Caenorhabditis elegans: one gene and its partner. The protein of the gene in region 2 purifies or fractionates together with the protein of the main gene of each other region. This does not show direct contact. Each region holds a gene or a part of one and is shown on either strand. Other genes may lie near its edges.

Region 1 (7,350 bases), on a different chromosome or scaffold from region 2:
TCGGAGTCTCGGAGAATGCGTATTGTACAGCATATTTGACGCGCAAAACAACTCGTAGCGAAAACTACAGTAATTCTTTGAATGACTACTGTAGCGCTGGATTTTCGAAATGAATTTCTTTTTAAAAAAATCTAGCCCGTAATTCGACACAAGCGCTACAGTAGTCATTTAAAGAATTACTGTAGTTTTCGCTACGAGATATTTTGCGCGTCAAATATGCTGTGCAATACGCATTCTCGGAATTTTGGGTTCCTGTAATATGCAACGAAATAACAAGAGAAAAAACAACCAAAATATGCTATAAAAGGTGATACTTCAAGAAATGGCAACTCTGACAGCTGCGACACTGAAGTGTGCCGAATTCGAGATTTCAGCTAGAATCAGTGTAACTTTTTCGAAATTTTGAACCGCCATAAAACGTCTCACTACGAAATTCGTTTATTCGAGTAATGAATAAGTATGAATGTCTGCAATAACAATATGTATTATGCATTTATTTTTTCAATGGGTTTATACGATTCATCTTTTATTTCATCACGATTTTAATAGTAATAAATCAAATCAAATCAAATCAAATCAAATCAATAAGAGATTTTTTAGAAAAACTTATAAATTATATAATTGATTCAAACTCTTTAAAATTAGCTCTAACTCAACTTTCGCCAGATCCTTCTTCACTCTGACATTCTTCATCAAGTTAAATATATTCGATTCCTTTACTCGTTTTCTATAGTATTTATTTTGTTCCATCATCTTTTTTGTTGTATAAATAACCCAAAGGGTTGTTCCATCAAATTGTGTTGTTGCCATCACGCGCTGAAGAAATCTCAAATCGATATCAACATTTTCACTTGTTTTCAGCCGATGATAATTGTTTTCTAACAGTTCATTAACAGATTTCCAAAAACTTTGATCAACTTGATCAGAGTAATTCAGAAGGATCGCAAGAATTGAATAAAGAATATATAGTCTGTCTGTATTCCATTTGTTGAATATTTGTCTGAAATTTTCTTAGATTTCTGAGAGAAAAGTATGAGTTACTCACTTTAAGTACTGAACATCTACATTTATAAACTTGTCAAAATTTGCATTTGGAATACTCACTAGACTTCTCAAAATGCGAAGAATTCCAAGTTGAATAGTTTCATTGTCAAATCCCAATAAAAACTTGAACAACTCTTTGGCTCCTCCGTTTTCAATGACATGAAGGCATGTTTCTGGATTACTCATAATCGTACTGGACATCGTTTTGATGATTGTTCTGCATGCCCAATGATTCTGTAGAGACGTGCAATGCTCTAAAGTTCTAATGAGGATATTTGAGTCTTTGATAGTTTCCTTCGAAATTTTATAATTAGTGGTTTTTCTTAGAAAGCATTTTGCAATTATTTGCAATATTAAAACAATGAGTATCGGATCGGAATATGTTTCTTCCAGAAAACAAATATAAATATCGCCAACCAAATCGATTCCTTAAGTCCTCGCGTAATGTCTGTATCCGTTCGATTCAACGTATATGTAAGATTGAGCAATATACGTAACGATTTTGTTGCGTCAATTGGACGTAGTAGTTCAGCATTATTTCTGAAATATAGGAAATGTTCATTTTTTCACCGAAACCACCAAAACCAAAATCCACAACGACTAACATAGCTGGTGAAAACATTAAAGGTGGAGTACCGAAATCTGAGAAATATTTTTAAATGACTCCAAATTTGCCACTGATTATATATTTTTTCAACGAGTCGGTTTTTGCTAAAGTTTTTGTTATCAAAAAACTAGCCAAATTTTTGGTTTTCAATTGGGAAAAGCATATATTTGGATTTTCCGTCAAGTTGTGACCTAAGCAATGGAAAGTTTGTCAGTTTTTTGATAATATAAATTTTCTTTAAAAAATTTGGCAGAAACCGACGAAAATGGAGCAACCCCATTAAAAAACGGAAATCAGCATCCGATAAAGATTAAGGATTTCGTAAATATACACAAATCTCGTAAATCGACACATGGCGTCACTAACGCGAATATTTGGCGTTTGAAAAATCTCATGGATGCACAAGCGATTTTAAGATGAAATATGAAATCAGGCAATTTTAATTTTTTCACTCACAAGGAAAGGAAGTCAATCTAGTCCCGGACTTTAAATTGAGACGTATGCCTTTTGAAAGCTTATGTTTAGACTAGATCACCACAAAAATTTCAGCGGCGGAACTCAACTCTGAACCCCTGAAAGCGCCATCTGAAAGTGCTACAGTGCATTTTTTTGCTGAAGGTCAAGTAAATGGCCTTAAAAGTGGCTATGAGCGGTTAAAAATTGTTTTTGGGGGTCTTTAGTGTCAAACAAACAATGTGGAAGCTTTTTGGAAATTTTTATTTTTTTTGCAAAAAATCTGAAATTTGAGGCCAAATTTTTGGTCAAAAAATTTTTTTTTGAAAAATTTTCAAAACTATTTTTTTGTATCGGGGCATATAAAAAGGTACAAATTTCTTCCAATTGGGCCTTTTGCACCGAATATGAGGTGGTTTTTAAGCTTAAAAATTTCTTGAAATATGTAATGGATGTACCTTTGAAGGTTCAGAGCAGGGGTGTGCGGCAAATGGAAAAAATTGCCGAGCTCGGCAAATCGGCAATTGCTGGTTTTTCAAAATTTGCCGAGCTCGGCAAATTCGGCAAATCTCTTTTTTCAATATTTGCCGAGCACGGCAAATTCGGCAAGTTTGCCGTGCTTAACAAACTCGGAAAATTTTGATAATTTTTGATGTTTTTGGACCACCAAAACTACCGAATTCTTAACACACATCTGGTTTCTGAATTAGTTCCGTGTAGTCTTAGGTCTGCTTAAGCATCAAAATAACTCAATTTTGTGTCATTTTACTAAATTTTTGGCGAAAAAATCAATAATTTTAGTCAAAATTGTACTGTAAAATTTTTGACGTGTGCGGCAAATTTCGAAATTTGCCGAGCTCGGCAAATTCGGCAAATCTACTTTTTTGAAATTTGCCGTGCTCGGCAAATCGGCAATTGCTGGTTTTTTTTAATTTGCCGAATTCGGCAAATCGGCAAATTTGCCGAGCTCGGCAAGTCGGCAATTTTCGGCAAATCGGCAAATTTGCCGCACACCCCTGGTTCAGAGTTGAGTTCCGCCGCTAAAATTTTTGTGGTGATCTAGGCTAACCTTAAGCTTTCAAATGACATACGTCTCGATTCGAAGTCCGGGACTAGATTAACTTACTTTCCTTGTCAGTTATTCGGAATCAGGGAGTCATTTGAAAATATTTCTTAGATTTTGGTACTCCACCTTTAAACTCACGTTGCAATTTCTGCCACACAGAGTATTCCAATTGTATGTGGAGTGGTCGCGCTGCCCAGTGAACAAGTGTCCGTAACGAAAGTCTCAATCACACGGAAAATAATTTTCAAACAATCAGCCCAATCGTATTCATTGCGTTGTCTCAACAGAAATAACATATCTGACAAGCACTTTTTGGCAGGTTCACTTCGTTTCAAATCCGTGTAATAGTTGAGAGTTTCGAGAGAAGACGCCAATGTCGCTGAGTTGAGAACTGTAATTTTTGTGAGCAACGTCGAATACTGCAAATGGCAATCTGGAATCCAAATGTTTAAACTTTCGGGATCCAGAAACTTAGAAACTTGCTTAATAATGCAAATTTTTCAAGTTTTGGATGAGATCTCGACAATTTTGCAAATAGCTCTTCTTCAATGTCAGTTCCACTGCAATCCATAACTCTCAACGCTGGTAGAGCCATCCCACACTCCACAAACCTTCTGATATTTTTAGATGTCTCTAGTGGTCTCAAATATTTTGTGATGTTATTTGGGAATCTAAAAACTGAAAGTGGTGTACTTACTTAGATTTAGACATTTCTAGGGTTCTTAAATTGAATAATTTAAATAAATCCATCAAATTCTCGCAGTCCCTGAATTCCAAGTCTCTGATGCTTAGTTGTTGTAGGTTTTTCAATTTGGATATTCCTTTCAGGAATACTATGTAAGTAACCTTTAAACTTTTGAGGGATGGAAGCATATCCGAAATCTAGAAATTAAAAAAAAAGCGTTGTATTTTCAAGGAAAGAAAAGTACTTTGGTAGACCATCCATAAGAAACTAATCCGGCACTTCTGATCTCCAAATGCTTCAGCTTTGTTTGGGATCCCTTGTTCAGAATGTCATTTAGTATGCCGACAATGTTAATCCGTTCTGTAAACTTTATATTAGAAGGAACTTAAAGGATCTCATAGTCAGTTATATTAGTAGGAATATGAAAAATAAACTGCGAAAAAATCCGATGAAGTATGAGAAAGTTTGACTGAAAAACGCAAAAGAGCACACGGTTAGCTATTTTTGCAGAATTTTTGCACTAGTATAGATTATGTTAGCCAATGATCATAGATACCGTTTGCGGTAAAAACTTTCATATTAAGGCATGCTGGTGGAAGATATTCTCTAGTAAGCCTAACAGGTAAAAAATATATACCTATCACATTCAATTTGAATGGAAAAAGAAATGAAAATTTAATTCAATTTTGAAATGAAGGTATGTACTACACAAGTACCAAATTGTCTTGTGCATCATTGATTTTTTTGCAGTTTCCTTTCATATTCTAATTAATATGACTGAATATTACAGTTTAGAACAACAAACCCTCCTTCTACTCACTTATTCCACAAAAATAATCTCTATGCACAAATGCGAATGAACCTAAGGCAAGTGAGTCTAAACAATGAGACTTGGTCATTTTCATAGACTCATGGTGAATTAAGTTCATTTTCAAGTCGACATCTGTCAGGTTAAAGACGAGTCCTTTGATATCGTTGAGTTCACAAGACAACAGAAAACGGTTATTGAGGAGTGTCGCAAATATTTGATTACTGGATTTTGGATCCAGACTGCAGCTTTCTTTTCTGTTTTGATAGTGGCCTTTAATAGTTACTTTATATAAATGTGGTCGTGACATTAACTCACCTTTAGTGATACTTGTAATAACTTTATCAATTGCCAAATTATAAAGTGAACTTATCATTTTCCTGAAATGTAATTAACTGTGGGTAGTTAATCATATGAAGTATAAATATGAACATATGTGAATAGTATGCTAATAGTAAGCTGGTTTGGAAAAAAAGTTTCCAAGTTAGAAAAAACTAGACAGTAAATGTTTTATATGCTTCACATATTATTGGTTGTTTGAGATGAATAGATTGGGTCCTAGACTAGATCACATAGAAATGCTCCATTGATAAATCTCCAAAATGCAGTTTTCTCATGTGGCCAAGAAGAAGTCGAATCAATCATGAAAACTTATAGAAATTGTAGATTAGTTATGGGATTATGACACACAACTGTATAAAATACATTTTTTTAAAAAATGAATTTCAATACATTTGTGACGCCATTTTTCTACACTTTATAATTTTCCGACACTACTTGAATAACCCCATTGAATTGTTATTCAAAAAACTTTGTAAATAGGTTGAAACATTAATTGAACTATCATGCTAATAGCCATGTTTTATGTTGAAAACCTCCTCTATCAAAAAACCATACACTTTATATAATCGAAAAAAAAATTGAAACAACATAACCTACGAAAATAAAACCAACCTCGTATTTCTTCAAGGTTATACACCGTTTACAATGGTGAGTTTAGAGCAAGAAGGCTAAGAGAGACGCTACAAGACACTGTTCTACGTAGAAGACGCAGAATTATCTCAGCAGGCTCACAACAGACAATGTCTGTGCTCAGTCATATTACTTTTGGACCGGAGTGTACTCTTTGACCTCCTGAAATAGATGAATCGTTGTCAACTCGTTGTCGAGAACTTGTACGAGGGGAATTGTAATAAATGAATAAAAAATACAATTCTCTATCAATATGGTGTGTTCATAAGCTTGCAAGCTTAAGACTCCACATGTCTCAAATACTTATTAAACGCTGCAATATGAAGAAAAGCAAATTCGACATTTTGTAAACTCTTAAAATTTTTCAAAAAATTTCAATTTCACCAGAAGAGTTTCAATATTCTCGAGTTTTACAAAAAAAAGCTCTTTATTATTAAATATTTATGTTTTAAAAGTGTTGAGGAAAGTTCCTGATGATCGAAATAGTAAGGGAAAATAGTATAAGGTTAGAATGTGCTCAGGGGCATTCACTGAAAATTAAAACTTACCACAAACTACAGTAATCCTTTGAATGACTACTGTAGCGCTTGTGTAGATTTACGGGCTCGATTTTCGAAATGTTTCTTCGTATTATTTCTTCCCTTTTCGTTTAATTTTATTATTCTACATACTTATAAATAAATAATTTCAAAGCATTCCAAAAATCGAGGCCGTAAATCGACACAAGCGCTACAGTAGTCATTCAAAGGATTACTGTAGTTTTCGCTACGAGATATTTTGCGCGCCAAATATGTTGTAAAATACGCATTCTCAGAATTTTGAGTTTCCGTAATAGTTCTAACCAGGGCTGGGCGGAAAACGATTTATTCAGGCAAATCGGCAAATTGCCGGAATTTCAAATTTCCGGCAAATCGGCAAATTTTTCCGGAATTTATAATTTCCGGCAAATAAACTAATTGCCGGAATTGAAAATTTCCGGCAAATCAGCAAATTTGCAAAATTTAAAATTTCAGGCAAATCAGCTAATTGCTGGAATTTAAAATTTCCGGCAAATCGGCAAATTTTTCCGGAATGGAAAATGTCCGGCAAATCGGCGAATTGCCGGAGTTGAAAATTTCGGGCATACTTGCAATTTGCCGGAATTTCAAATTTCCGGCAAACCGATAAATTGCCGAAATTGACAAGTTCCGGCAAACCGACAATTTGCCGGAATTGAAAATTTCCTATCATTTTGTTCAAATATATAGTAATTAAAATTAACTTTTTTTAAAATTAACAATAGTTCTAGCTTGTTGAGGATCTTTCTTCCTTAAATGTATAGAAATTGATAATTGCTTTTTTGAGTTCGAAATTCATATCTGATTCAATTTTTCCTCGCTTCCGTCCAAATCCAACTAAAAAGCGCAAAAAGCTAAATTTCGGAAATAAAGCATTCATTATATTTACGATCCAATAAATCTACCAGAAAATGTTCTATGAACCAATAAAATGCAATCAGATGAACGTAGAGGGACTAGAAAATTTCTGATTTTGTCGTCTCGTGGGTGGCAGTAGGTAGGGGGCAAGCAAAAAAAGAAGAACAATTTAAAAAGAAATACAACAATTTTCACTCAGAGATCTCCTCTTCGACTGACACTTGAATCAGACCGGTATGAATTGCGAACACTAATGACAACGTGAGAGCTCCGAGAGTGAAGAGAATCGCATCCCGCATT
Region 2 (6,487 bases):
ACTTTTTTTATAGCATACCGATTTTTCTGAGACTGTGGGGATTAATGTTATGAGTCATTAGTTTTCATTCGATTTTTCATTCAAATATATAGAGCTACCCCAAGTGTCCCAACCAATTGTCTGCAGCATATGACTACGAAAAGGGGAAACTATAAATTTTCAACAAACGAATTCCAAAAAAAAAACTTACATCTCGACCTGTCAAATTGTAAAAATTCAGATTTCCCTATTCATTTTTAATTACTCATTAATGCACCACCAGACCTTTTAACCAGAATTTTGAAATTTTGAAATAAAACTTTTTAACCTTTGTGTCCCATATTACGCACGATCACATAACTCGCGAATAGTTGCTTCAATTTTACGATTTAATGCTTCAATTCGAACTTTCAAACAGCCAAATTCTTTATCGCAATTTCGGTGAAATTTTGTAAAAAATTTATGTTGCATTACTCACAAATAATACAAATTGATATTTCAAAATTTGTTTGAAAAGCAAAATTTTGAAATATATTAAAGAAATCCAGTAATTATATAAAGATGCCATGTTTTCCAATATATTATTTCAATTTTCAAGGCGGTGGTTACAACAAGTATACAGTATGTTACAGAATATAATTCACAGTTAGCATTCGGTTTATAGAATTAAAAATCAAAAGTTAATTACAGAAAAATGAGGTAACAAAAATATTATTTACGTTTAATTTCTAGTGCTTATTCTTTAATTCCCAATTTTAAACTGTTTTTGATGATTCAAAATATTGTGTCATCAATGACCAAGGTTCTTCTGAACCTGAACGTTCTGGTGGTAACAAGTCACAAATGCTCTTTGCAGGGGAACGGGTGTGAAGTGTCGTCAAGTGTGGTGTCGTGTGTGCATGTTCACACTGCGTTGCGGACTTTTTGACTGGTTGTCCTGGTAATCTCGCATCTATTTTATGGAATCCTTCTAGAACGATTTTAATGAAAAAAAATCTATTTTTTTCTGGAACTAATCTGAAAGAGGCTATCAACTTTTTAAATTATCAATAGTGGTCAGAATTTTTTTACAACTTGTGAAAACGCGAAGACAGCTGAATTTTCTGAAAATGTCATACATGCAGGTGTTTTATTTCTAAGATAAAATTTTTATACAGCTTTCTAACTTTTTAAGCTTCCATTTTCATTTTCTCTTTAGTAAAACGTGAGAGGCATTTTGTGGAGAATCTCATTTTCAGAAAGCTTTTTTTTAATCTGTGAATCAGATACTTCCAGTACAAAAAATTTTCCCAGCGAGATAGATGTTTTTTCAACTACTAGAAAAATATTATCATCAACATATTCATAAGCAGCGCGGTCGCATTGCGGCTCTAGGCCGTCTGTTTCAAGTAATCGAGCCTTATTCATTTCTCTTTGCCCTCTTTTTTCCATTTCTTTGTGCCTCTCAACTGTGACCTGCTTTTTTCCCTTATGCACATTCGTGTGTCGCACAATTGTTTTCACTTTCTATTCAGTAGGAGCATCAATCACGCCTACTGTTTATCTTCACACAGACACTGGCAGGAAATAATGGGGCTCACAAAACTGATTGCTTTGAAGAATGCTTAAACATGTTATAGACTAATAACATGCCTCTTATGCCAAACGTTGTAGAAAATTATATGCTTCTTTTGCTCTTGGAAAACCACGGTTTCCCTTTCTCTCACTTATTCTCAAAGTTTTGTCGTTTCTTTATTTTGCAAAATTTGTATATTTTCAGGACTAATAGAGTCACCGAAAAACGGTAAACCATGTCCGCCAACTGGGATTTGATTCTCAGGTCGTCGGCGGACAAAGAAGATTTGAAGGTATAAATGAATACAAAGACACAGTATCATTAAATGTTTGCAGAGAGAAATGACCTACGTCAGCTACCATATGGATCTTGGAAACGGAATAAACAAAGAACTTCGCTTTTCTCTCAACAACAAAAACACCTATGTCACTCATTATATGCTGGAAAAACTTCCAAGGCCATCTATTTTAAGTGAGTAATTTTTTAAGGCAGGCTGTTACATACTAAATTTTGCGCCATGCTTTTTGATTTTATCAGATGTTTGTTAATTAAAAGTTGCAAATTGTTTTGTGATAGTGAGGCCTATTTTCATGTGTGCCTAATTTTATATAAATTTTAGCATAGGCCTAGTTAGAGTCAAAAACGGTTAAGTTAGTCTGCGAGATTGATCAAAATCTTACATTACATCATACTATATCATCAGTATATTCTTGCTTTAAGAACTTGCCGATGACATGCTTTTGGCCAGAATGTCCTACATCTCAAAAATCTTCAACGAGTACAAACGTAGCCGAGGCAAATTCAATTTCCTAGGCGCACTCTGTTTCATAAACGAATACTTGTCTGACAACGATCTCACTGGTGAATTCGAGTATCAAAATTTTTCTGGAAAAAATGCGTAAGAAATATGGTGCATTTGGTTTCCAGGAAATTTTTTTTTTTGCAGGTGGGCTGAACCAAAAAGGGTGATCGACGGAGTAGCGGAGTACAAGAAAATTACAAAAACTAGGGAGCAGCTTTTCGATGAAGTCGGTTTAGCCACTAAATGATTTTAATGATTTTTCACTTTTCAGTTTCCCGTCCCGGGGTATGACTGGCTTTTTAGCAACAAACTCGACAGCCCAAACGAATGTGGTGAATTGGAAGCTGCTCACCGAGCCCGGCGACAACGACTAATTTTTGGCAAAGACCTTCCTAAACCTGCTGAATGGTTTGTTTTGAAATCTTTTACATGTTTCACATCATCCATATATAGACTATAATTTTTCAGGGACTACGACAATTGGAGAGAAAACTTTTTGGAAGCTCAAGGAGACAAAATTCCAATTCAGGAAAGCCAGCCCAGTTCAAAGGAGCTGATATGCTCTTTTCTTGGAATGCACTCTGTGGATAAGTATCGCGAGTTCCGTATTCGGTATACAACTGAAATGATGAATTTTAAAGTTGATGATTATACTGCTCTTGCCGGTAAGAAAATTTACCTTGTCGAAGCCTACTTAAAGAGTTTTCAGAGGAAGTGAAAAGTCTCATGAGAGCCCGAGAAGAAGTGTCGCGCGAAAAGTTTTTGTGGGCCACATCCAGATTATGTGTAAATGAGAACACGGTGAAATATTTTTACGCAATGTTCAAACAAGGAGTCAAAGCTCTCGAACGCTATGAAACCGAAAACATGAATGAAGAGGTTACAGAGTAAGCTTTCTTTCTCTCCAATTTCGACATTAACCATCTTTTTTTCAGCTGGAGTGAACCCAAGCCACTAGCCAAATTTTACAAATTTTTCAACAAAACACTTCACTACGAAACTACAGTTCCTGCTCCACCGACTGAGAAAATGTAAACTACATTGTTTTAAAAATTTATGCAGCACAGTATTTTCTTTCAGTATCCTGGAGACTCATCAATCTGGAATAGACTTCATGAATAGTTTCAAGCAAAGCGCTCAGCAAGAAGTTGCTCCGACCTCACTGGTTTTTACATCTGCTCCACTAACGGAAAATGATATTTTCCCAGTTGCTTATGGATCTGAAAATCATATTGCTGAAAAGCGCGAGGATGGAACTATTGAGAAAGGATCAGACACCAAAATTGAGCAAAATATATCCAATGGATCGTCTAGAATTGATGACACTGTCGAAGCAACCGATAATGTGCCTACCTTGGTAAACACAACGCCTACCGAGCAAACAAAACCAACTCTCTCGTATGCAAAAATAGTCGAAAAGTTCAGCAAGACAGACCAACAACCTGCAAAGTCAGACAACTCTTCTCCGTCACCGCGTGCTCAAAGACTTGAGCAGAACTTGGCAACGTCTGCCAACACAATTCCATGTCTCTCGGGAAATTCGGAAAATTCAGAAAATTCATATGCTCCAAAACATGATAACGCTGAAAACGTGGGAGAGTGGAAAGAAGTGGTCTCTAAGGCAACGACGAGCAACAGCAACAAAAAGGGAAAGAGTAAAAGCATCGGTCAGAAGCAAAAAGAGACAACTCAAGATGTTGGCAAAATGGGTATTACGAAATCTGAAGAACGTTATGACGGAAATGGCAATGAGCATCAAAAATCTGATTTCAATATTTCGAAAGGTTCAAGTGAATCTGAAAACGGTGATTCACTAAAATCTGCGAAAAAAAAGAAAGCATCAGAGTTTACTACGCTGGATGCAAATAAGTACAATATCGAGAAGGAAAAAGATTTCCCCTCAACTCCAGCAGAGGAGTATTCAGCTTCTTCAACAGACAAGGAGGAGGTCTCAAAACCCACTAAAACTTCCATTAAAAAAGCTAAAAAAGCTGCAAAGGCGGCAAAGCGCGAACAAGGAAAGGGAAAAGACAACGCAACTGAATCGACGATTGAAAAACTTGTGATGATAGCTGATGATAACTCTTTTGTTGAAGCCAAGTTTGATGTGCAAATCGTAAAAAGTAATGACAAAGAGCCAATAAATCCAGAAGAAGAGAATGGAAAATCACCGATGGAATCTGTTGAAGCTCAGTTTTCAGATGGTTTGGCAACTACTTTTGTGAATAATGCCTTGCTTGCAGCTCAAAACCTTTTGCAGATGCCCGAAACGTATGTGTACCCAAAACGTACCACATTAAATTTTTGATGATTTCAAATTTTCAGAGTATCCCATTCCAATATTCAGTACACTTCTCTCCCTGATGAGCCAGAGGACGAGGGCTCAGATGCGTATGTTCCAGGGCAGACAATAACTCATGACTACCGACCAGGCGTTCGTAGGCACGGCAACGGAAGCGAATGCTCTTCGTGCAGTTCTGCACACGAGTTGCCATCGTTGGATGATGACAGGTTGGTGAATTTTAAATTGAAAAATTGAAAAATTTTATTCTTATTTATTCTGATTCCAATTTATTACGACTTTCTGTTTTCAGAGAAGGACGTCTATCAGACAACAATAATCGGGAGAGTAGATCTGCACCAACATACCCAACTCTGTTTTTTGACACCGAATTCTTTGACGCTAGGAAGGTGAACTTAGCAAAACCAACTCCTGAATTTGTGGAACGCGCGTGCAATGCAGCTTTACATGGTATGTAGTTATAAATCTCTCAGTTTTTCACATCAGGAAAAAAAATTTGCAGACATGTTCCGTCGCCTGAAGTATCTTGCCGACAAGAAAGCTAATGGAGGACTTCGCAATGTTGAGCACGGTCGTAGACCACTCATCCAGAAGCGGCTCCAAAAGTTCCAGAATGTTTATGTTTTCCGCTTGAGAGTTGCCAAAGCAATGCTTTATATTTTGGATAATGATGTGGCTGCTGAGTCGACTAACATCCGCGAGAAAAACGTTATCAAAGATTTGCTATTGTATATTGGCGAGCCTGTTGGTAAGTGAATTTTTTGTTTAGTTTGAAGTTGATTATTATAACCTTTGTTTAGATTCCAATGCCGACACACTGAAAGGAAGAAAATTGGATAGAATTGCCGAGCATACCAGATTTGCTGATAACAATGAGTCAGGTAACACACAACTTATTTGGAATCCTTTCAGCCCTTTTCATATTTGAATCTGTTTCAGACTTGATAACTCGTGGCCTTCGCTACATAGATCTCAGAGTATCAGAACTCGAACAGTCGGAGCCTCTTCGTGCTCAGTATGCGGCTATCGGCGACCGAGTCTTTGCTCTGATGAAGGAGCAAGAAGTGCTTCTGAAGATCATCGGCAACAGTGTGGATTTCCGTGGATATGAAGAATACCTGTGAATTGTCACATAGTATGCGTTCTTTTTTTCGAACTTTTGTTTTAAATTCTGTACTTTTATGTGATATTCTAAGTCATTCCTGTCTCTTGTCACAATTCCATTCTCCTCTATTCTCAAATCCTGTTTTCTTTCGCTTCCCAGTTTCCATTAACGCATATATATATATATATTGAATAGTTCAAAATGAATAATTATTTGGCACGACAAATCTTTATGATAAAAATGAAAACACATAAGTTAAAATCTAAGTTTAATAAGTATGATTATTTTTGAAAATCAAGAGAATTTTACGATTTAATACCATACAAATCAATGCATGTTACTTAATAGATGAACAGAACTGTGGAATTAGTTTTATAATTTACTGACATATCATTTTAGCTTTGTGAACAATTTTCAGTTAATTAAAAACTCTTATTCTCCATAATATTTTTTCAAAACTCATAGTATCGTTTATAAACAAAACGCATAAATTAAAGAATAGATGTAATATAGAAAATATGAAAAACATGCAACTCAATATTGGTAATTGTAAGAATACAAAAAAAAAAGAATAGCAGTAAGCGGTAAAACAGTTTATCAAGAGGAGTTCTGCTAGTTTTCAACAAAATCGATTTTTTCAGCCATTGAAAGTGCTGTCTGTGATGGCAAGCTGTTTCCTAGAATCTCTGACGGAATTGGAATCAGACCAGAATCACGCGGTAGAAATAGTTTTTCCAATTCGAT

Evidence for each region. The genes of interacting proteins can lie anywhere in the genome.
Region 1: the proteins of K09C4.10 (region 2) and K05C4.3 fractionate together in Caenorhabditis elegans (co-fractionation; one large-scale study listed by BioGRID). This does not show direct contact.

The regions. Positions count from the first base shown.
Region 1 is NC_003279.8:14,748,100-14,755,449, forward strand, and holds K05C4.3 (F-box/LRR-repeat protein), read right to left. Parts: upstream 5,679-7,350; 5' UTR 5,618-5,678; intron 5,044-5,617; 5' UTR 5,040-5,043; coding exon 4,982-5,039; intron 4,937-4,981; coding exon 4,676-4,936; intron 4,216-4,675; coding exon 4,100-4,215; intron 4,053-4,099; coding exon 3,868-4,052; intron 3,812-3,867; coding exon 3,654-3,811; intron 3,604-3,653; coding exon 3,309-3,603; intron 1,585-3,308; coding exon 1,398-1,584; 3' UTR 1,046-1,397; intron 1,001-1,045; 3' UTR 519-1,000; downstream 1-518. Other genes in the region: mtx-1 (Metaxin-1 homolog), read right to left, coding at 7,242-7,350.
Region 2 is NC_003284.9:3,275,482-3,281,968, reverse strand, and holds K09C4.10 (SPK domain-containing protein), read left to right. Parts: upstream 1-1,738; 5' UTR 1,739-1,769; coding exon 1,770-1,826; intron 1,827-1,869; coding exon 1,870-2,005; intron 2,006-2,254; coding exon 2,255-2,432; intron 2,433-2,480; coding exon 2,481-2,562; intron 2,563-2,607; coding exon 2,608-2,744; intron 2,745-2,804; coding exon 2,805-3,001; intron 3,002-3,045; coding exon 3,046-3,223; intron 3,224-3,271; coding exon 3,272-3,367; intron 3,368-3,416; coding exon 3,417-4,607; intron 4,608-4,661; coding exon 4,662-4,847; intron 4,848-4,930; coding exon 4,931-5,088; intron 5,089-5,140; coding exon 5,141-5,386; intron 5,387-5,438; coding exon 5,439-5,519; intron 5,520-5,577; coding exon 5,578-5,762; 3' UTR 5,763-5,962; downstream 5,963-6,487. Other genes in the region: K09C4.7 (uncharacterized protein), read right to left, coding at 6,356-6,487.